2 linked regions of the Caenorhabditis elegans genome follow. The protein of the gene in region 1 purifies or fractionates together with the protein of each later gene. This does not show direct contact. Each region holds a gene or a part of one and is shown on either strand. Other genes may lie near its edges.

The links.
Region 2: the proteins of cid-1 (region 1) and rsu-1 fractionate together in Caenorhabditis elegans (co-fractionation; one large-scale study listed by BioGRID). This does not show direct contact.

The regions. Positions count from the first base shown.
Region 1 is NC_003281.10:5,169,500-5,183,315, forward strand, and holds cid-1 (4Fe-4S ferredoxin-type domain-containing protein), read left to right. Parts: upstream 1-4,422; 5' UTR 4,423-4,492; coding exon 4,493-4,574; intron 4,575-4,871; coding exon 4,872-5,329; intron 5,330-5,449; coding exon 5,450-5,612; intron 5,613-5,662; coding exon 5,663-5,970; intron 5,971-6,132; coding exon 6,133-7,125; intron 7,126-7,174; coding exon 7,175-7,708; intron 7,709-7,790; coding exon 7,791-8,647; intron 8,648-9,159; coding exon 9,160-9,268; intron 9,269-9,317; coding exon 9,318-9,729; intron 9,730-10,060; coding exon 10,061-10,271; intron 10,272-10,316; coding exon 10,317-10,437; intron 10,438-10,524; coding exon 10,525-10,554; 3' UTR 10,555-11,008; downstream 11,009-13,816. Other genes in the region: ulp-1 (Sentrin-specific protease), read right to left, coding at 51-152, 201-240; prp-19 (Pre-mRNA-processing factor 19), read right to left, coding at 857-1,060, 1,110-1,492, 1,556-2,294, 2,391-2,543; K10D2.5 (uncharacterized protein), read left to right, coding at 3,291-3,416, 3,461-3,553, 3,600-3,737; Anaphase-promoting complex subunit emb-1, read left to right, coding at 3,947-4,078, 4,148-4,261.
Region 2 is NC_003281.10:3,466,027-3,476,175, forward strand, and holds rsu-1 (Ras suppressor protein 1), read left to right. Parts: upstream 1-5,976; 5' UTR 5,977-5,982; coding exon 5,983-6,070; intron 6,071-6,536; coding exon 6,537-6,625; intron 6,626-6,681; coding exon 6,682-6,883; intron 6,884-7,063; coding exon 7,064-7,332; intron 7,333-7,383; coding exon 7,384-7,542; 3' UTR 7,543-7,693; downstream 7,694-10,149. Other genes in the region: pph-6 (Serine/threonine-protein phosphatase 6 catalytic subunit), read left to right, coding at 99-228, 810-952; smim-14 (Small integral membrane protein 14), read right to left, coding at 1,926-1,964, 3,023-3,226, 3,655-3,717; C34C12.9 (uncharacterized protein), read right to left, coding at 8,229-8,474, 9,056-9,145, 9,302-9,424.

The sequences.
Region 1 (13,816 bases):
CGCTATTTCAAATTTATACTTTTATGGATCAAGGAAAAGGATTCACTCACCACCCAATCCTTGAGATTTCGTTTTTCTGGTTCTTTTTGTTGGCGACTGCTCTTTTTCTTCGTTTGTAACAGCTTGATCGGTTAACCAATGTCGTTTTCTTGCTAAATATTTTAATTAATTTCAGCTTATTTTTCATTCACTTCTCCTACATTGAGAGTCTTTGTCTGATAAATCAGACCTACGTGACATTCCGTTTCTCTTTCAATCGAATATCGTCTATTTTTGATGTTCCAGATTCAAGTAGCTATCCTGAAATATAGTTTTTAGCTGCTTTAAAAGATTTTTGCTATAGTAAATACTATCACAAAGGGCAACATTTTAAGTTTTTCAGCCAAAATAAAGAAGGCAATTAACCTCTAGGCAGTACGTAATCATTCAATTATTGCATAAATTACTTTTAATAAAAGAATAGATGAATGGGATAGAAGCGGAGGAGATTGGCTGCAGATCATTTTTGAATGAAATGAATAAAATTTGGGGAATCTGGAGAAAAGTTGAACTGTTAAAAAGATAAATGTGAACAAAATAAAATCCAATAGATAAAAATAGAAAGAGATCTCACCACAGGAAGACAGCCAATCAACTCTTTTTTTTTTGTTGATTCACAGTGAAAAGGAGAATTTTTGGAATCGATAATATATGGTAACGAGAGATGGAGAAAGAATAATAGTTTGTCAGCTTTTCTATAGATGGGAATATTTTCAACTTGACTGAACAATCCGGAATACAAAAAAAACAAGGAAACGAAACGGGAAAAATGTGGTGAAATTTTGAATAACTTAGTAATAAATGGTAATAAAAACAATTAGAAAGAGAATACTCGGAGACTCTTATCCAATGAACACGTCACCAATGAACGAGCATTTTCTCCGAATCTAACTCCAGTGACTGGTCCAGAATGATCAGAAAGTGATACAACTTCACTCCAGCTCTTCACATGCAAAACTTGAACTTTTTGGCCACCAATTCCTAGGAATGTTCCAGTCATGTCGAAGGACAGGGAGTTGATCTGAAAAAATTATATTTTTTCATTAAACATTTGCTTAACAATTTCTTACCGGTTGTTTCTCTTCGTTAGCGAAAGTTTTCAGATTCTTCAATTTTCTAAGATCCCATAATTTGACCTCTCCATCCTCTGATCCCGTAGCCAAATAATATCCGTTTTCAGAAAACGCAATCGAACGAACGGCAGCAGTATGTCCCGGGAATGCAGCAGCCACGGTTTGATTCTTCAAATCCCAAATCTTCACAACGGCATCCGCAGCTCCAGTTCCAAAAATAAGACCATCAGGATGGAACTCGATGGAATGAACGGCAATTTGTGATCCTGGTTCAACTGAAACCTTGCAAAGCGATTTTCCGGAACGAATGTCGGAGAATGCCCAGTAAGAATCATCAGAAGCGGAGAGAATGTAATCACCGGATGCATTGAGGGAGATATCTGTAAAACATTGTTTGTTCAATAGAAGAATTACAGCTAGCGAATTTTTTTCAAATATCTCACCTGTAACGGGTGCCTGATGGACATCAATAATAGCCTTCGAAGACGAATCAGTTGCACTCCAGACTCTAATATGTGAATCAGCAGAAGCAGAGATTGCAGTAATATTATCCGGATGCAAAACAACTGCGTTGATCTTCTTGTTATGCCCCTTGAATGTTTGCATAACCTGTTCCTTTTCATAGTCATACAAGACAACGGTTTTATCAATTCCTCCGGTAAGTGACAAATTTCCCTTGATATCCAATGCAGTAATTCCAGGAGTTCCAGTCGAATGAATTCCAGTGTGAGATGCTGTCTGTTTCAGCTCGGCGAGCTCTTCTGTTTTGGCAAGTCCTTCAGGAAGATTTTTTCCTCGTTGTTTACGTTCAGCAGTCAGACTCTTTGATTTCTCTTCAAGTTTTGCCAGAATTGCCTCACTAAGACCTTGTTGATCTTCAGACTCGTCAATGCTGACATCATCGTCAACTTTCGCCGATGTGTGTGGTTTCAAAGTAGACAATGCTTCTCTAGCAGCGGTCAATTCTTTGGAGAGGCGGGAAATAACACGACAAGCGGCATCGTGTTGGTACAGAGAGTGAGAAAGTTCTTGACGAGCAATTTGGAGTTGTTGTCGGAGAGAGAAGCTGTTGAGCATTACTGTATCCCACTCGTCTTGAAGCATTTTTAGTAGAGATGGGATGGATGTTCCAGAGACATTGCGTGGTGCTGATCCAGTGCCGCCACTTTTCAATGAAACGAGCTAAAAAATGAATTTTAGAAATTATTATTTTGTTTTTTCAATGAATTATCATTTCGAAGTTTCACGTCAGTGAAGATAATTGCAAGGTTGACAAACCTGGTCTTCAGAAAGCTCTCCATGGCTGATCGGATCTGTTCCGTTTTCGGCAATGAATTTAACGATCAGCCGACGATCAAAGATGTGCCCTGAGACTTGAGAGACGACTGGGTCTTCGGTCAGTTCACCACTGATTCCGCACACGAAAGACATCTCCTGAAAGTAGCAAAATATACACGAAACCGCTTGATTGACGTGGGACATAAACGAAGAAAGTTTCAATGCGAATTTTGTAGGATAATTACATTTATCGAACGAGTGGTCAATAAATACGTACTCTGGCTAGTGACTAATCGAACGGCGCATTGGATCAAATGTTTTAAACTTGTCTTTAAAAGAAAATCTAGAATTTTAACCAGTTTTTCATGAAAAAATGCAAGTTTTCAAGTCAAAGGAATTCGAGACACCACGGTTTCAAGATCTGATGGGATCCCGGATCTACGTTTTCCGGATCTACCATTTCCGGATCTACGTTTTCCGGATCTACGTTTTCCGGATCTGGCACCGTGCCAACGCACAAAACGCTTTTCAACGCACGACTTTTTTCGAAATTTTCTTCTAGAAGAAACGCTTAAGAACACGCGACGCGTAACATCGCAGCGTCGTTGTCACTTTTTTCTTCGAAAAAATAGCGTTTTAAGAGTTGGCACGGTGCCAGATCCGGAAAACGTAGATCCGGAAAACGTAGATCCGGATATGGTAGATCCGGAAAACGGAGAATCCCACCAGATCTTGAAACCGTGGTGTCTCAGGAATTCCATGCAATGAGAATTCGAAAAACTGCAGTGGAGCGTACTTGCTGCAGCTTTTCCGGGCGGGGCCGAAGAAATGTCGGCCATGAGACTGGGGAATAAAAACGATTTGAAAAAATAATTTGGATTTGAATTTTCTTCCCAAAAAATGCAAATCGGGGAATATGAGCTCACTTTCATCGATGTTGCGGTGTTTGTGGTGTTTCTCGTGGCTTTGAATAAAATTGTTAAAAGGATGCTTGTTGCAAAAATCAATGAGCCAGCGAAATATGAGGTAATTTGCAAATAAATCTTGGGATGTGAATTTTTGTTTCTCAGATCGAACAGCTCGAAGAGCGTGATATGACAATGGAAGAAATCGAAAGCATGCGCCGCGAGGAGAACAGGTGCCTGGTCATTGTGGAAGACAAAGTAATAAAATACTTTTCGGATTATCAAAAAAATAAGTTTATTTCAGATTTACGACCTCTCTGGCTCACAAGATCTCTATGACAACAACCGCGATCTTTTCGAGAGTAGTGAAGGATGTGGACCTGAATGGGCACCGATTTGTGCTAGGAAATATCCATTCGTCGGACACGTTTTGAAGAATTAATTAAAATCTCAGCGGGAGTTTGATCAAATTTCGGGTTGTTTAAGTTGTGTCAGTTACATCGTGTTTTTTTGTTGTTAAATAAAACGGTTATTTTTTTTCATACATTGCTTTTTACATCTCTTATTATTATAGGCTGAAACAACCTTCATTTTACTTTTGCCCGTTTTTTAGATGACTTTGATTCAAAAAACCACGTTTACAGATCAAGTATGGCTTTGATGTACCCATTCCACGTAGCACAACCTCCACTCAACTGGTCCGAGCACTTGTGGGTTTCCGAAGTCTCACCAGCAAAAGAGTCATTCATCACCACGATTTGTGAGCACCGTCAAGCTCAATGGGTACGTTTTTATTTCAAAATCACACTTTTCTGAAAAAGTACATTGTTGTTCATTCTAAATTTATTGCAGGATAATCAAGATCTTCTGCGTCACTTGCAAGACAGTGTGGCTATTCTGACTCGTGAAGATCAACGTCATGTGAACGCTGTCCATGCAGCAGCAAATATGCCTGCAAATCCTTGAATTCCCTATTCTACACCATATTTATCTGTAAATAAAACTCGATTTGGCATACCATTTTTTTTAATTATGGAATTCATTTCCGAGGTACTGACCTCGTTATTACCTAATTTAATATTTTGTTCTCAAATTATTCCAGATTTTATTCAATCGCTTCTTTTCAGTTTCATTGGGAAAGACGAACCGAATAATAGGTATTAATATTGTACTGTAATTATTAAAAAGAGTTGTGAGATGACCGATGAGCAAAGGTCTGGAAGTAGGCGGAGAGGAGGAGCCCTTGGAGGTGGAAGGGGAGGAAATAGCCAGAATAGTGGTGAGTTCATGACTAATCATTTTTAAAAATTCATACAATGAAGTATATTAGGCCCTTCGTATTGCTTAAAGATTGAGGTTTTACTGTTCTTAGTATTCAAAAATACCGTTGATTCACTCTCTACTATAACTTTTTCCTTATCAATCCTGAAGTTATTGAACAGTTTTAGCAGAAACGCCACTTTTATTTATTTATCAACTTTCTTATCAAACAAAGTGAAAACTTTATAGCAATTTTCGAACAGAGTGTTCTTCATTTTTTCTTAATTTTCATATTGAACTAACATTGAACTTACAGGCCGGAAAAGATCATCAAACAGTCCAGCTGATTCGGCTTCCTCCTCCCAAAAGACGAGCAGAAATCCATCGCAAAATCGTCCTCCAATGAACATCGTTCCTCAAAAAGTCACAATTCTGAAACGAAATCAGGATTCTCAGCCAACATCTCCAATAAATCGGAATGCGCCACCAGGACCCTTGGTTGCCGCTGTACAACCATTGATGGCTGTTGAATTGGGCGATTCGGGAGCTTCATTGAAAGGATGGAATTCAAATCCTACTACTCCAGAGAAAACAACGATTAATGTTGCTGGACGACAAGCAGAAGCCAACAAAAAACAGACGCAAGAGTATTATTTCTCCAAAAATGCCGGGTCAGCCGTGTCGGCTCAAACATTTCAAGAGACTGTCCAGTATCCAATGAGCTCATTTCCGTTGGAAAAGAATGTACCTATTCAAATTGATAACAATTTTACGGTTAGTTGTGAATAAAAAATTAAAATCATTCGCTGTATTCCAATAGAACAAAATTCGTACTTTAAACTTTAAAATAGCAAAAAAATGTATGAAATTAATTTTTAAAAGTCAAGTTTTTAGCTGTTGATTACTCCAACTACGAGCAAGTGCAATGGACTATTCATCAAAGTAAAATTACAACATGGAGATGACAATATCACAACTGGAGCTCTGTTGAAATTGGATGCAGATGAAAAGACGATCAGAAAATCTTGCAGGGAAACTATTGAGAATCTCTTGAAAGGTTTGAACTGAGTTTTCCGATTTCATTTCACTGTTTCTCAACAGTTTCAGCAAAGTCTTCATCCGACAGATTTCCATTCTCAAAGTGTTCTGAGGGATTTCTGACTTCTTGTTTGATCAAGAAACTTGTCGATCGTCTAGAAGCGTTCCCAGAGGCCATATACTATTGCGAAAAGTGCGATTATCATATTAATACAATCGGACACGCAAAAGCACACTTAGAGAGCAGTACACATTTTGATGATGTTAAGCGACAGGAACAACGGGAGCATCTTTTGAAAATTATTCCACCTCCGACTGAAGCACATTTAGAGAGTGTTGAAAAAGTTTTGGAAGGAACATTGAAATCGTATCAACAGGTTAGATTATCTTGAAACTGGATTGGAAAAAAACGAAATTAACGGAGGATAAATTGTGATTTTTCTCTAAAAAGCTGAAATTCAGAAATAAAATTTCGTTTTTTCTATCCGGTTTCGATCATTTTTCTCTCAACTAACCCTTCTCTCGTCAAGTATTTTCAGGTTCGTCAAAATGGAATCGAGATCGGTGAAACAATCATCTATTACTTGAGTACTACAGTATTCCCATCGATTGGATTGCAAGATGTGATACTTCGACCATTTGGATCTGTAACATATGACGTCACACTTCCGGATAGTGATTACAATGTGGCATATACTATGTCAATTCCTGAAGGAACTCCAATATTTGCATTACTTGAACAAGTTCGAAAGAAGATTGCCGATGATGGACATCCAGCTGATCATTCCATGGAAATGGGAACACCGTCAACAATTATATTTACATTCAAAGGAGTTCGAGTTAAACTTTGTTGGATGTCATGTTTCAATCATCGTATACAACTTCATTTTTCTGAATTGATGAAGACCTATGTAAATTTACGAGAGGAAGTTGCTCAATTTCTTCAACTTATTCGTCTTTGGGCAACGAAAGCTGGCCTTGACTCCAAAAATAAGCCTAGAATCGGACTTCCTCGATATGGATTTGATATAATGGCCATTCATTTTCTTCAGCAGATCGGATGCCTTCCAGTACTTCATGAACTTTTTGAAGCAGGTCCAGAAACTGAGAAAATTGAAGAAATGAGTGCTGAAAAGACAGCAAAACTTCAATCGGAAGAAGCTGGGCAACGTAGAATGAGATTGATGTCTCGATATGAGAAGAATACTGAAAAGATTGGTACGAAGTTCGACTTGAAGAAATCTTGGAATCTAGCTGAGCTCTTCATTGGCTTCTTTCGGTATTATGTTGAACGACATCGGGACGTAGTCATCCAAATTACACAGCTTATTCCAATGAGTCGAGATGTGAGCCGTTGGAATAAAAAGATTCTTCATGTTGTTGATCCATTCCGTGGTGACAATGTTCTTTCAATACCAAAGGTTTCTACTTGGCAACCATTCTTTTTCAATTGTCTCCTAACATCATTTGTATCGTTTTCGATTCCAAGAACCAAGAATGGACCATTAATTGAAGTTTCGTTTGTTCATAATGTAAGTTTGGTTTCTTTTTTGTTTGATGTTTTTATATCTATTATTCCAGAAAACTATCAAACCTGGAAAAAAGTTCAAGGATACTCCAAAAAAGGCAACGGTGGAGGCACCCATTCCATTGACTCAAATAATGGAAGAACATTATCAAGAACCTGTATATGAGATTGTAAATGATAAAGATCATCTAAAATATATGAAAGAGCTCAAGGAACGTCTGATGATTGATGGAATCTTAGTGAATGAACGAAAACCAATTGATTATCACACTGATGATCATCGAGAATGTGTTTATGGTAGAAATTCACTTTTGCGATTCAAGAGAGTTCTCAAACCAGGACTAAATGGAAAAATGGCAGCATCAATGGATGGATTGAGTTTTGTGACGAAAAAAGGAAAGAAATTCATCAATCGGTGGAAGAAGGCGAACGTCATCATTTTATCGGAAGATTCTTCTGAAATAGACGAAAAGACGAAAGCAGCTGATAGTAATGTGTCCGAAATTGCAGAAAAATTGGAGGAAACCCTCAAGATTTCTTCTCAAAAGAATATTGACGTTGCAGTAACATCCATGCCTGTTTCCACGGTAATTTCAGATTTTGAAATTTTAATTAATCACTGACAAGTAACTTTTGATTTTTTTAAACTAATTTTTACTCAATTTTTAGGAAATCAAGCCGGAACCCATCACGAAATTATCAAATGAAGCACCAGTGAAGATAAAAAATGTTGCTCAACCTCAATGTGATCTCATAGAAGCACCACAAGAATCTCTAATGAATGAATCTATGATGGAATCCAGTTTCGATGAAACTGAATCTCCAATGAAAACTCCAATTGTTCAGAAACCTGTGAAACAAAATGCGACATTTGGGAAATCTACGATATCCACAGTAATCCCCGATAAGCAATTCTGCAGTGAAGAGTTTTTCATTAAATTGAATTCGAATTTGAAGGATATTGTATCCAAATCGAAAAGTCTAAAACCATCAGATTTTCATTATGAATTCTCAACTGATCTTTTCTGTGGAGACTTTGAAATGGAAATGAAATGTACACATTGTGATGGTAGTCATTGTGTTGAAAACTGCCCGATGATGGAAATTCCACCGATTAAAAAATATCAAGCAAGAACTCCCGAAGATTTGAAAGATATTGATGATATGATTGATAAATATTATCATGAGAATATTCTTGATGAACGACGGCTCAAAATGTTGGATCACAAGATTGATGAACTTCAATCATTTTTAAGGAAAAACTATCGTGAAGATGTCACTCTTACAACATTTGGAAGTGTTATGACAGGATTAAGTGTCAATTGTTCAGATATTGATATTTGTTTGAGATTCGGAGATGGAGATGTTCCGCCAAAGGATTTGACAGCAAAAGAAGTTATTCAGAAAACTGAATCCGTTCTCAGAAAATGTCATTTGGTAAAGAGAGTTCAAGCAATTGTCACTGCAAAAGTGCCAATTGTCAAGTTTCAAGTGAAACTTTCCAATGGAGCAATTATTGATGTCGAGTAAGTTTAGAAGATTTAATTTTTCAAAATGAACAGAATTTTTAAAATATAAAATCTCGAAAAAATTTTGACTCGTAGTTATAGTGTTTAGTTGAAAAAGAATCATAGTCAATAACTGTAAAATCCCAAAAAAAAAACAATGTACACTACTCCAAGGGCACGTGGTGTCAGGCTGTCCCATTTTGGTTTGATCTACGTAGATCTACAAAAAATGCGGGAGAAGAGACGCAGAGTTCTCAACTGGTTTCGCATGGTTAAGAACCTGCTGACGTCACATTTTTTTGGGGAAAAAATTGCCGCATTTTTTGTAGGTCAAACCGTAATGGGACAGCCTGACACCACGTGCAAGGGGAGTACACGAGCTGCGTAAATCGACACGAGACCATCTCAGAGGTTTACGATTTTCACATATATAAGAGTTTAGAAAAAAATTGATTTTTTAACTACTAGGAATATAGAAAATAAGTGGATGAAAGATAATTGTCATTATCTGAAATTATTCTAAATTTCAGTATCTCCTACTACAATATATTGGCAATCTACAACACAGCTCTTCTGAAAGAATATTCATTGTGGACGCCTGACAAACGTTTTGCTAAATTGGCTCTCTTTGTGAAGACTGTAGCTAGTTTTTCTTATTCTTTTGAAAATTTCATCCTCTAATTTCCAGTGGGCCAAAAATTGTGAAATCGGAGATGCATCACGTGGATCATTGAGCTCATATTGTCACGTCATCATGCTCATTTCTTATCTTCAAAACTGTGATCCACCGGTTCTTCCACGCCTTCAAGAAGATTTTCGAAGTGATAATCGGGAAAGACGACTCGTTGACAACTGGGATACGTCATTTGCTCAAGTTGAGACCAGTTTGCTACAACGTTGGCCTAAAAACAAAGAATCGTGTGCTCAGCTGCTCATTGGATACTTTGACTATTATTCGCGTTTTGATTTCCGGAATTTTGTTGTTCAATGTCGACGGGAAATGATATTGTCGAAAATGGAAAAAGAGTGGCCGAGACCTCTTTGTGTAGAGGATCCATTCGATTTGAGCCATAATCTGAGCAGCGGTGTTAACAAGAAAAGTATGTTGCCAATTGATTTATATCAGATGTTCAGATGTTCAGAATCAGATGATGTATATTAGTTTAAAAAAATGTTCAATCTTCCTGTTTGAATTTCCTCCAAAATGAGAACTGCACGACAAATCAGCGCCTTCGAACTCCACCCATTCCGTCTGATTGGTTCAAAAGTGGGCGGAGCGAGTCGCTAATTAATCGTAGTTCTCATTTTTAAGGAAGTTCAAAAGTAATCTTATAAAATTATTAAGTCTTGTTTTTAAAGTTAGATTTTTATTCCTGACTTTTAGACATTTTTGAGCATTTCAAAATGAAACTGATATTTTTGTTTTTTCAGTGTTCGTATTCATTATGAAAGTGTTCATCAACTCACGAGCAGTCTTCATGTCTGAGAAACCACCGATGAATCGAGATCACACTTTCCTATCATCATATCAACACCAGTTACTTCGAAAATGCAATCAAGGATCCGCTCCAACTGATCGTCAATGTCATCAATGTCATAGGATAGGACATTTTGTAGAATCGTGTCCGCAAAGAGCCCTGGCGTATGTTAAAGCAGAAGTAGAATTTTATTAATGAACAATTTTCAGAAAAGAAGCCCGGAAGCGATTTGGATCAAACTCGACAAACTCATCATACCGATCAAATGATAGTGGAAGAGGATTCAAAAATGGAGAGGAAGGTGGCGATCGTCTGACTTATCACAAAAGGGTATTAATTAATATTTTTTTAAGTTTAACACTCTTGTTGGCTTTTATTCAGCAAGTTTCTACGTTCATAACATAAAAATATTTTCAGACATACTATCATCGCTCGTACAACAAATAAATTCTCTCCACCCATTCACTTCACACAACAAACTGGATTTTCACCCCCACGAAAACTATTCTGAATGTGTATACATACGTATATATCCAGAAGAATATTCTAGTTCTATTTCCCCATTCCCCCACTATAATCATCTTTATAATTTTTTTCTTGCTTTCATCGTTCCCCTAGTTAATCATTTATCATGTGCCTTCCAGCGTTCTTCCCTACTCCCAAAATGTTTTAGGATCCGTGTTTTTTTTTGTTTTTCTTTTTTCAAATTCTCTGAATTATAATTTAAAAAGAATCTTCCTAAATCTAGGAATCACATTTGAGTTGTTGTACTTTTTCTGTTCGTTTTCTGTTGTGTTATTTGTGATCCAAACAATTCTGCACCATTAACGGGTCCATTTTGGACACTATCACCAACAGTCTTCCCACCCAATTTTTTTTTCATAATGAAACTTTCCCCATGATTTTTTTGTCTCAAAAGTCCCTAAAAATCCAGTTGCCAACGTCTCTCCACATCCCACTCTTTCTTTTTTTTTTCACTTTCGCATAGTAAAGCAACAAGACATTAGGAAACCGTGAGAGGGTCTAGAAAGTGTACGAAACAATCGGGAGCCCGGGCACCCGGGGATGAATGTGTTTACTCGGCAAAATTGTGTGAGAGAAGCAACCGATCAGTTTTCTTCTGATGTCTACGTCTCGAATGCTCTCGATTTTTCGCCCATTCAGTCTCTAATCACTTTTCTTGGATCATGTTCGTGCTGTACAAGTTGGCATGTTTCGTTATCAACTGTTTGATTCCCTGATTACAAAAAAATTCACCATTGGCTGCCAAGGACAACTAAATTCTGTTTTTATCTGGGAAAAACTTCACTAAATTCTAATTCAACACTGTTCAGAAAATTGTTAATTCGTAAAAATTTACCACCATTTTACGATTTTTTAAATTGAATAATACGTTTATGAACGTGTATATCTTAAACTCTACAGATAAGCCTGAATTTACTATAAATATTAAAACTTTTATAAAACTTCTAGCAGCCAGTTTCAAGTTTTTGCGAACAGACGATGAATTAATTTTTTAATGCATTTGAGGAAAAGTATCTCATTATTTTTTATGCAATATTTCAAAATGTTGGCCAATAATTTGAAAATTAAATTAAATTATCGTTTCCAGCTTTGATCAAGCGAGTTTAAGCTCAATTAAATGTTAATTTCGAGGAAGTTATTATCTTTTTTGAATTTAGCGGCGGAGAAATTCGCGATGGAGCGCATTTCCACCTTCTACTTTTTAATGAATTTTTTACCGGTTTTTTCTATTTTGATCATCGCGCGAATGTTTTTCTCGTTTTTGTATTGAAAATTGTTTGACTTCTCAAACGAAATAATACTTTTCGTTGTAATTTCCGTTGAATTCGAAAGAAACTGCTGAACACTGCAATGGGTTACGTCATTTCCCGCAATGAGGTGCGTTTCCTCTCAGTGCGCAAACTGCAAGAGAGACCAGACAACAAATAGATCAAAACGTGCCGTCCGGACTTGTAGACGATCTTGACCAAAATGCGCCAAATTCTTTTTTCTGTCAAAGTAAACCAATACACATGTGTTTTTCTTCTCCTGTGTCTCCTGCTCGTTCGTTGCGTTTTGATCTGTTCGTTTTTTACAGTTTTCTCTTATTTTTCAACTTCGTTTTGTTCATTTCCACAACTCATTTTCTTCTCTTCTTCTTTTGGATCGGACTGTTCATGTTCGTTTTCTGGTTTTCTCTCGTTTCCTCGACCACCTCTCAGCGCAGAATGGTCTCTCATTGGGCCTGTCGACAGTCTCTTTTTCTCTACGCCCTCTTGATCTGACACACTCTCTTGCCGGTCTTCTCATATTTTCCGCCCGAATTTCCCTCATTTTCACATCCTAAAAATGCCGAGTTTCGATTGAATTTGATTCAGATAGATCTCTTTTCAAGCAAAAAAATTCATCGACGTTTTGACATTGCTTTTTTCGTTAACAAAAACCAAAACTTTTCTGATTTTATCGCCGCCGATCAGCCGTTTTCTTTCAAGGCGGCAGGTGCATTTCTGGTTTGATTAAAAATATGAGGAAATCAATGTTATTCATGTTTTCTCATATTCTTCTCTCTTGAAATCACTAAAAACATTAAATGACCCTCTATTATTGACTTTTCAAACCCTTTCTGCTCTGAAAGAGACTGTTTGCTCTTCGAATCGATTTTATTTTCGTGATTTTCATCGCAGCCCTATTTTTTAGTCATGAATTTTTGAATTTTGGCCTAAAATTTTGTGAAAAAGTTTAGTCTCGGAATATTTCCCATCTTTTGAGAGAACGGTATTAGATTTTGAGTGCAAAGAGTTTTTCTGTTTTTTATAACACTGACACTAGCGAAAACGATGCTCTTTAATCCTTGATCGCTACTTTGCGGCACTCAAATATTTTATCAATCAAGTCGATATTTTCCACTAAATTAAAAAGTTCACTCTAGATGGACTCGCCAAAAAATTTAATGGACACGCAAAATATTAGTATCCAAGGGCTCATTCTCAGCTTTTGATTGGCCGATTCAGATTGACTCAAACCTAAAATTCTTTCCTATTCCCTTTTATAAAGTTGATAAGAATTCAAAAACATTCACACTTCTATGTCGTTCTCCGTGTTTTTCGTTTTTCTCCATCAGAACACCACTCATAACTATTATTTTTGATGTGTTCCAAACGTTCAGCCTGCAGAGACGTTTTCTCCTATTTTTGCGCCGAAATTGCATTGTTTTGTGTGCAAAGTAGGTGTCATTTGGTGCGCAGGTGTGTGTAGAACTCGAGAAAGAGGTTAATTGTCAGTGTGTACCACGTCATTTTATTCTAGGATAATATATGTAAATCATGAGCTATATTTGGTTTTTTTCTTGAATTGAGCACGTTGGCGTGTTACACTTCTAAAGTTTTGTGGTTCGTATACGGTTTCGAATTTCACCTTCTTCCTGTTTTCTCTTTTTATCTGATAAGACACAGCGAGTTGTTTGTTGTTTATTGGTTGGCTGGTTCCGCAGTCAATACTAACTGTGTGTTCTTTTTCACAATCTCTCTCGTTAGGCGTTCCCCCGATGAAAAGTATTGTTGTTTGATTTATATAGTAGTTTTCAAGTTTTCTTTTTTTTTAATTTGAATTTATTACAACAGTGAAATTGTTCATCTAGATTAAGAGGCTCTAGATTTTATTGTAAATATGAATTCAAGATTCAAGCAAATCTTGTTTTTTTAAATGC
Region 2 (10,149 bases), 1.7 Mb from region 1:
TTGTTTTTTGGTCCGAAAAAACCTTTATTTTTTTTGCCAAAAATACGACAGCCCTGTCAATTTTGGAATTTCCACTTTAAAATTAATTTTTTTTGCAGGTGTTCGGAGCAAAAGTGACAGAAGAATTCCTAATGAATAATGATCTTTCACTACTTTGCCGGTCCCATCAACTCGTTGACGAAGGATTTAAGTATATGTTTAATGAGAAACTCGCTACCGTTTGGTCGGGTAAGAATTTCTTTTATTTTGCTGAAAAATTAGAAAAAAAATTCCAAAAAAAAGATTATGGGTCGATTTTTGAAAAAAAAAACGGAAATTTTCCGATAATTTCCCGTTTTCGAACTTTTTTTGAAAAATTCTAATTTATCAAAATTCATTCAAAAAACTCAAAAAAAAAATCGAAAAACAAAATTTTCTCGGTTTTAAGAATTTCTCCTTTTTTCCGAAAAAAAGTTTTAATGTTTTTTCATTAAAAACTGAAAAAAAACTGAAAAACTTAAAAACTTGGAAACTGAAATTTTTTTAATCGCACAAGCTGGAAATTTTCTTGAAAACTGAAAAATACCTCAAATAAACTGAAAAAAGAGAAGAAAAAACTATTTTTCAACTGAAAAAAACTGAAATTGCTAAAAAAATTATTAAAAAACTAAAAGAAACTGATTTTAAAAAAACTGTAAAAAAAAGGATTAAAGGAAACGATAAAAATTTAAAAACAGAAAAAAGAAAATAAAACACTTTTAACTGAAAAAACTGAAATTGCTTTAAAAGTTATTACAAAAAGAAATTTCAAATAAATGGATAAATTGCAGCTCCAAACTACTGCTATCGATGCGGAAACGCGGCGGCCGTATTCGAAATCGACGGAAACAATCGCTCGACGAAATATTTCAACGCAGTTCCCGATGGAAGCCGTGAGAAGCCGGATCGTGTCGTTGCTCCGTATTTCCTCTAAATATTACCTCACACCTGCCTGCCTATTTCTATTTCCGCCACAGCTACATAATTTAATTATTCTTTAAAATTTATGGTGGAATAGTGTAAATCGCTTTTTAAAAAACCCAAAAAAAAACCTGCCAAAATAATTGAAATTCCAAAAAAATCCCACAAAAAACAATAAAATTCAAGCTAATTTCCCGTAAAATTTGACATTTTCCCCTGATTGGTCAAAAAAGGGCGGAGCAAATCGCTGATTGGTCCTGCAATCAGAGGCTTGTTAATTCTTTTTTTCGACCAATTAGCGATTAGCTTCGCCCATTTTTCGACCAATGACCGGGGAAATTTGTCAAAAGTTGAGCAAAAAACATGAATTTTTCATTATTTCTGAATTTTTTCCGGGTTTTTATCGTTTTTTTGTCAATTTTCATCATTTTTTGCTATTTCAAAGCAAATTCACGCTATTCCATCTTGAATTTTAATGTTTTTTGTCTGGAGTGGACCCCCTATAAAAGCCTCGGTTCCTCGTGTACTTGATCTTCATTTTCCCCCATTTTGTGTGTATTCTCTCTCTGATTTTTCACTTTATTCTCATGTTTTTCCTTCTTTCAGCTCCTGTTCACTTTTTTCCGTCGTGTTCCCCCTTTCTCTTTCTCTCATTCCTTAATTTAATTTTAATGTGTGAACAATTATCTCTCTCGAATAATCTCGAATCTTCATTCATATTCCCAGAGAGACGGAAATGTACAAGAAATTGGTAGGGACTAGTAGTAGGCGATTTTCACAGAAAATTTGACAAAAAAAAAGAGAGACGAAAATTGTGATACCCAAAGCACAGGGGAGAGAAAATTAAAAGCATATGAATGAATAGAAGAGGAGGACCCAGAGGATTCCAGTTGCAAAAATAAAACTGGATTTTTTCAATTTATACACAGGAATGGTTGGTGGCAGAGGAGAGTGTTACAGAAGACGGACGGTAGAGGATTTCAGATTTACATTGCAGATGGCGGTGGAGGTGGTGGCGTGTTGTCCTGGAAATTGGAATTTTAAAATTTTATAGGACGCGTACTCCCCGAGGAGAAGTTTAGAACATTTTAAAATTTGAAATAGTTTAATTTTATATTTAAAAATCTGAAAATCGATAAATTTTGTTTTTTTTTTTTCGATTTTTTCAACAAAAAAAAACTATCGTATGAACCAAAATTGAAAGTTTTCTAGTTTTTTTTTGTTGATATTGCGTAAACACAAAGTTCTGACGCTCAAAATATCTCGTAGCGAAAACTACAGTAATCCTTTTAACGACTACTGTAGTTTTCGCTATGAGATATTTTGCGCGTGAAATATGGTGTGCAATACGTATTCTCTGAATTTTGCGTTCACGTAATACTAAAAAAATAAACAAAAATTCCAGGGAATATTTTTAAATTGTTTTTTTTTCAATTTAGCAATAAAGTCCAAAATAAGGAACTGGGTATTCCATATCCCCTAAAAAATTTTTAATTTTTTTTTTCAAAAATTCAAGTTAGACTGTAGGACAAACACCTATAAAACCCGGTGATGATTTCTTTTTTCGCGTCTCTGATAACTGATTGACCGGTCAATGTATTGCCGGGCGGGCACAAAAAAAAAAGATTAGAGACGCAGAAACGCGCTCCACTGCCAATTGAAAACGCTCCGCCCCCAAACAGTTGGGTCTCGTTAGGAATTTGGCGGAAAAACTGGGAATTTCGCTGATTTTTATGCCGAAATTATTGTTTTTTTTTCGATTTGGGATAGAGAATACATTAAAAACAACGAAAACTGCTTGAAAATTTGAAAATCCGGTTTTCCCGCCAAATTCCTAACGAGACCCAACTGTTGGGGAGCGGAGCTTTTACGTTTAGCCGTGGAGCGTGTTTTCACATCGATTTCACAGGTGATTTTTTCTGCGTCTCTCTAATACAATAAAATTAAGATACTTGTGCAAAAAGTACCGTAGTACTTTAAAGGCGCACACCCGAAATTTTAATTTTTCGTGGCGAGACCCAAAATTGGCCGTGGAGCGGGTTTTCTGCGCTCTTGTGATAAATCCGAACTTGACAATACTAACATCAGAACTTCCAGTTGGTTTTTCAATTGCTGCATCATCGGCGGTTCTTCTATCAGATCTCATTGAATTGGGTCTCATCACGTAAAGTGCCATTGCCATAAATGTCCATAAAAGTGTCCACATCATCATTGTATTGCCACCTTCACGACTCAAACCATCATTGTCGCAACCCGTATCTGTGCAGTCCGCTTGCGAGTTTCGGAGCTGCAAAATTTTGATTTTTTTCAAAAACATTTTTTTTTTTTGGAGTTTTATGACGATTTGCAATGGGTATTCAGATACGATATGTTGTGATTTTGTGCGTCGGGGTCTCGACACGACAATTTTTTATTTTTTTGTTAACTGCGAAAAAGGCGTGCGCCTTTAAAGGGTACTGTAGTTTCAAAGTTTAGTTGCTGCGGAATTTTCATAGATTTTTAGTAGTTTTTCGACAAAAATATAATAATTTTTTGAACCAGAAGAAAGCGATAAAAACAGAAAAACGTTTGAAACTACAGTACTCTTTAAATGCGCACACCTTTTAGCATTTCATATCAAATTTATCGAGTCGAGAGCCGAAAATTTGTTTTTTTTAAATTGTATTGGCAAATTTCGCGCTAAACCCCGAATATTTCCATAATTATTTCCCTTACCATAGCCAAAAGTCTTTGCATAGCAGATTCATGATCGAAGAAACATTCACACGGATCACTCATTCTCTGAAATTGCGAGTTTCCGTCGTTGAACTTCACAGAATCGAGAAATGAAACGAACAGAGAACGTGGACGGGAAAATATAATAAAAAATAAAAAAAAGTGGGCAATGCAACGTTGCCTTACAAAAATATTGCTCAATGGGGAGAGATTGCGAGAGAAAACAGACAAAAAATCAGCTGGGAGACGACGGGTTGTGATGGGAAACCATGCACATTTTTCATGAATTTAATGACTTGAAGAAGTGAAAAAATAATGCTTTCAGAGCAAAAAATGGTGAAATTAGAATTTCGGCCAGTTTTTTGTTGTTTCCGGATTTTAGCCTAAATTGTGTTTTTTCTCTAAAAAATTACCAAAAAATGTTGCTGAAGAGTTGAAAAATTTTTGAGCATTATTACCCAATTTTGCGATTACGGTACCGGTACCAGGGTCTCGACACGACACATTTCTCTCAAATACATGTGACTTTAAATGTGTGCCTTTAAAGAGTACTGTAATTTTGAACTTTTGTTGTAGTTACGGAATTTTCATAGATTTTTTTGTAGTTTTTGTCACGAATTGTTAAAAATTTATTCGATTTCATTAAATAAATATATTTTTATTTAAAAAAAAAATTAAAATTGTTGAAAATTCTCTTTAAAGGCGTACACCTTTTTTGCAATTAATAAGAAAATTGTCGTGTCGAGCCCCGGGGCGCAAAAATCGCAAAATTTCACGTCTGGGTATTATAAAAATATAAAACCATTTTTTAGGCCGATAAATAATAATTAATCACCAAGTGTATCCTCCACACAGACTACAAAATAAGAAAAAGAGAACCTTTTGATCGGAAGCGGACACACATTCCGTATCTGTCGGGAGGGATAAACCGGTCTTTGATCTACTTTTTCTCGGGGATGTAATTCATTATAATTGACGACAACTGACAAGACTAATTAATTTACGAGCGTGTCGAAAATCGATAATTTTGATTATTTTTGGACATTAAAGCCTTTTTTCAGTCTAAAAATCGGTTTTTTGGCCAATTTTTAGAAAAAAAAAATTTCATTTTAAAAACTGACGTTGGCTGTTGGTTGGCAGGGAGGAAGAGACATCTTTTTTTGTTTATTTGGAATACTGTGAGAGAGAAAAGAGGGCTTAGAGATATTGATGACGTTTCATAAACGGATTTATGGGCACTGAACGGAAGGAAATTAATTTTTTTTTTTGCTTTTTTAAACTAAAAAGTGAAAAAAGAGAGAAAATGAAGCAAAAAAAAAAGACGACGAGACAATCGAAATGTTTACCTTTTTCTCTCTTTCTACTGAATTTTTTCTTATCGCTTTTTGCCATCTTAAGACAAAATGATTAAAAATAATTAAAAATCAATAAATGCTGCCTTCAGTAACCTTAAAGGCGCGCCTCAAGAACTTAAAATTAGTAGTAGTTCGTTGCGAGACCCATCACTTAGATTTTACTTGTGCCCCTTTAGAGGTGTACCAAAAGACGAACATTTTGAAGAAAAAATTTGTTTTTTTAGATTAAAAATAAGAAAAAAGGAAAAAAAAATTTGTGTAAATCTAATATCTAAAATTTTTTGATGCCGAAGATTAAAATTTAGAAATTTAAAATCTTTAAAAAATAGGAAAATCTAGAAAAAACACACAAAACCCAAACCTTTCAAAAAATAGAATTGATCGCAATATGGGCCCGAAAAAAATCAATCAATAAAAATGTAACCTTCTCCTCAAGGAGGATCCTCCTTCCGCCCATCGCTCAATGAACTTTTCACTGCTTCTCATCGTTCTCTTGGCAAACTGAAATGTCTCCAGCACCCTGCGTCTCTCCAACAGTGTAATACTCTCTCGCTGTACACACTTTCCTTTTCCCCCCATCTCACCCCACACACGTCCATTCCGCCTACGATTCGCTGTCATTTCTTCTTTTTCTTTCGTCTTTCGTCCCCTCTCTCAACAAATATATGTCTCTGTGTCTTTACAGGTTCATGTACTATCTCGTTGGAATCCCCTTGAATGGTATTCCAGCTGTGTTTCCTTTTTTTCCCATTTTTTTGCTAGTTCTTCCGCAATTATATTTAATAGAGGATTAGAAAGTGAGAAAGTGAAAAAGATCTTTGGAATTGCTATTTCTTCAAATTTTTGTGTCGATGCACCATGTCAAAGTATGAAAATAGTCATATTTAACACTGATTTTATCGTTTATCAACTCGCGAAGCACCATTTCCTATCCACAAAAAAAGGATGTAAAAAATTAAAATTTCAGGTAAAAATGCCAAAGGACAAGAAGAAAGACGAAGTGACAGAGGTTGAGCATGTCGATCGGAATATTTCGTCGTTTTCTCAAATTTCACATCTCAGTAAGCATTTTTTTGAGCTCTGCGCCACATTTGACGCGCAAATCTTCAATTATTCCATGGTTTCGTATGCATTAGAAATTGATCTGGCGGAGCAGCAGCTGTTGCTCTGTGCTCAGCTCCTCCGCGGGAAAATCGTAAATAGAATTTGCGCGTCAAATACGGTGCATTGGGTCTGTAGATCAAAATAAATGTGTTGCTTCTTAGGCTGAGGCTTAGGTTCAGGCTTGGGCTTAAGCTTAGGCTCAATCTTAGGCTTAGTCCTAGGCTTAGGCTCAGGCTGAGGGTTAAACTTAGGTTTAGGCGTAGGCGCAGGCGCAGGCGCTGGCTCAGGATTTGGCTTAGGCTTAGGCTCAATCTTAGGCTTATGTTAGGCTTAGGCTTACGCTTAGGCTTAGGCTTACGCTTAGGCTCAGACTTAAGCCTAAGCGGGATAAATTTTCGAAATCTTCCAAAAATTGAATTCCAGTCGATGCGGAAATCATCACTCGTCTCACTTTGAGCCACAACAAGCTCACTTCAGTACCACCAAATATTGCGGATTTGGTCAGTCTTCAGGTAAGCCAACCCTACATCAAGGTAATCTTCTTAATCCAATCTTTAAAAAATTGCAGTCCCTGAATTTGTGGAATAACCAAATCGAGGATCTACCTCCATCGATTTCATCTCTTCCAAAACTTCGAATTCTTAACGTCGGAATGAACAAGCTGTCGATTCTGCCACGTGGATTCGGATCCTTCCCAGAGCTGGAAATTCTTGATTTGACCTACAACAATTTGAGTGAACGATCATTGCCTGGAAACTTTTTCTTTATGCGTAAGTGGGGGAAAAATTGGAATTTTAAATTCTTGTTAGGACTGGAATAAGTTTGATCTACAATAAATGCGGGAACGTTTCGCCCAGAAAAATGTGATGTTGTACACTACATCAGTTAAAAAAGCTGAATCTGGGGCATCCGGTGTTCCCTTCTCCGAAAAAACCTCTCCCAATTTCCAGAAACCCTCCGCGCCTTGTACCTCGGAGACAATGATTTCGAAATGCTCCCCGGAGACGTCGAAAATCTTACAAATTTGCAAATCCTCGTGCTCCGTGAAAACGATTTGCTCACTCTTCCAAAAGAGCTGGGAAAGCTGACACGTCTCCGTGAGCTTCATATTCAGGGAAATCGTCTGGCTATGATTCCACCAGAGCTCGGAAATTTGGAGTTGGTCGGGTCAAAGCAGGTGCTCAGATTGGAGCACAATCCATTTATTCCGAGAATTGAGGTACATATATATTTTATTTATTTTTTATTTAAAAATTTTCTGTGATTTTAGGAGCAATTCGAGGCCAACGGAGCCGCCGGAGTCTGGGCTCACATCAGAACTGACGACTATCGATATTTCTTCGGTCGTCAGGAACCATCGTCAACTCCAGTTCCACCAAAAAGAAATAAGGAGAAGAAAGTATCGAGAAAAGGAATTCAACAAGCCTAAAATTGCCATTTCAACCCAAAAAATTTTTTGACCTACTCATGGTGCTGCCTAAATAATGCTTTACTTTGTTCAATATTGAATTGAATTCAATCATTTAATTGTGCCTTTTTACACTGCAAATAAGAAATACTAATAAAATTCTATCGAGACAAAAATCATCATTTTATTCAAAAATTATGCAAAAACTTGTTTGGATTTTGCGTTGGTCAGCAGAGAATTCATGGTAAGACTAGATTATGTAATAAAAAATTAATAAAATTATGCGTGATAGGAAGGGGAATTGGGGAACCAAAATATGACAGAAGCCAGGAAAACCAGTAAAGGGAATTTTTAACAAATTGAAAAATAATCGAAACATAATAATATTAGCAGAATTATTGTGTCTTTGATAGTTTTCGGTGCAATACTGGTGTCAGACTGCCCCATTACGGTTTGACCTACAAAAAATGCGGGAATTTTTGCATGACGGCAGCACGTCCTCTAATCATGCAAAATCAGTTGAGAACTCTACTCCCGCATTTTTTGTAGATCTTCGTAGATCAAACCGAAATGGGACATTCTGACTACTCGGCCACTGGGATGAATTAATTATGACAGCCGTCATTGGCACCAGTCACGATGCACCATATCTTACGCGCAAATTCAAAACTTCACCAGTACCTATTAAACACACAATAAAATAGATCCTAATGTTTAAAAATCGAAAAGCACGAAAAAACGCGTCTCAAGTGACTTTTCCTCTTCTTCTTCGGCGGGTACGGTAGATGTGTGAAGCTTCTCGAAATTGAGCATTTCTCATGATTTGCGAACATTGGATTTATATGGGATTCTGGTATTGATGAGATTGTTGTGGTTGTTGAAGGGTTTCCAGTTGAAAAAAGATTTCGGAGAGATGAGTAGAAGCCTGTCGACGAGCGAACTTTGTAGTCGTCCTGGAAAATTTTATTTATTTGGAGTTCTGAGAAGTGATTTTTGCACGTGGTGCCAGAGTTTCCAATTTCGGCTTGATCTACGTAGATCTAAAAAAAATGCGGGAGAAGAGACGCAGAATTTTCAACTGATTTAAATACAACCTGATACCCACGTGATGTCAGGCTGTCTCAATACAGTTTGATCTACAAAAAATGCGAGAATTTTTTGCCCAAAAGAATGTGACGTCAGCACGTTCTTAACCATGCGAAATCAGGTAAGATAATCTCCCGCATTTTTTGAAGATCAAACCGAAATGGGAATTTCTGACTCCACGTGGACACCGTGTGTTTTTGTGCATTGAATTTTTGAATTTGTGCGGAAAATTTGGACCATCGAATAATCAATGCATCAGATTTCACGCGCAAGTTTTTGATTGACTGAAATATTGTCTCCAGATCTTTTGAACTTGTTTTTTTCGTTATTTCGAGCCAGAAAAAGTGTAGTTTGTCAAACAACAAAATATTTAGATATTAGGAAAATAATTTTGAAAAACTCTGGTCAAAAACTTTTTGGGATAGCCCTGACTGGCCTAAAATCTCACCTGAAACTTCAACAGCTCATCAATCTCCACAAAGCCCACTGAAGAGGCTTTTCTGCTATGACACGGTGCTACGTCATCCGCGTGTGACTCCTGTAATTAAATCGATAACTTATTATGTTTCTCCGCTTATCAGTTTGTGCTCCCCGAAATACTAAAAAATCACAAATTTCACTGATCAATGAGCTCTTGACTCATTCGTAATGAAAAAAATCAATTAAAAATTCATATTTCATGAATCATACTTACCATATCAGGCGACAGTGCCTGTTCGATATACTGTAGTTTCAGGCGATTTCTCAAATGAATCGGATGATTTCTCGGCGGTATTTTTGGCGGTACTGATGCATCTTGTGAACTCTCGTTCTGCATTTGTGCGTGAAAGATTTGTGATAAAACGTGTTGGTGGAATTTTGAATTTTTTAGGGCTGAAAAATTAGAAAAATAATAATTTTTTTCATAAAAATCTAGAAAAACGAGTGCTTAAAAGAAAAATGGGACAATGATGATAAGAAGAATGTTTGATAGATTTCCGGAAACAGTCTTTTCTTTCTCTTAAAACCGACGTTTTAAGAAGAGAAAAAGACCGCCGGATGTGTTATCAGTTAAGCAAGTCAAAGAGAGACAGAGAGAAAGTGAGAATTCCCGAGAGACGCAGGAATAATGAGGGGGTGGAGATGGGTGATTTTTGGAGAGACATCAAGGTATATTGCAATGTATTTTGGGAAGTTCTACAAGAAACAAAAGAGCTGCAAGAAGGGATTATAGTTTTAGGACGTCACTGGGGTTTGAACCACGGAACATTCGACCAAAAGGCGAAGTCGTTACCGACTGCGCCACGGGTACACAAACTTAAGGATATTATGAGAAATGCGGAAAGTTCAAAAACACCAGACTTGACGAGCAAAGTTTGAAAATTCAAAAAGTTGAGAAAAATGCAAAATATTATGAATTCGCGGGATGGTGATAGATAAAAAAAAGTGTAAGGCTTGCAATTTGTAGCGTAAACAAAATAATCAGTTTTCTGGAATTCCAGGGGGAAAAAACAAAGTTGCTCGTTACAGTAATCGGCTCCGCCTCTTATTTTGCAAGTTTGA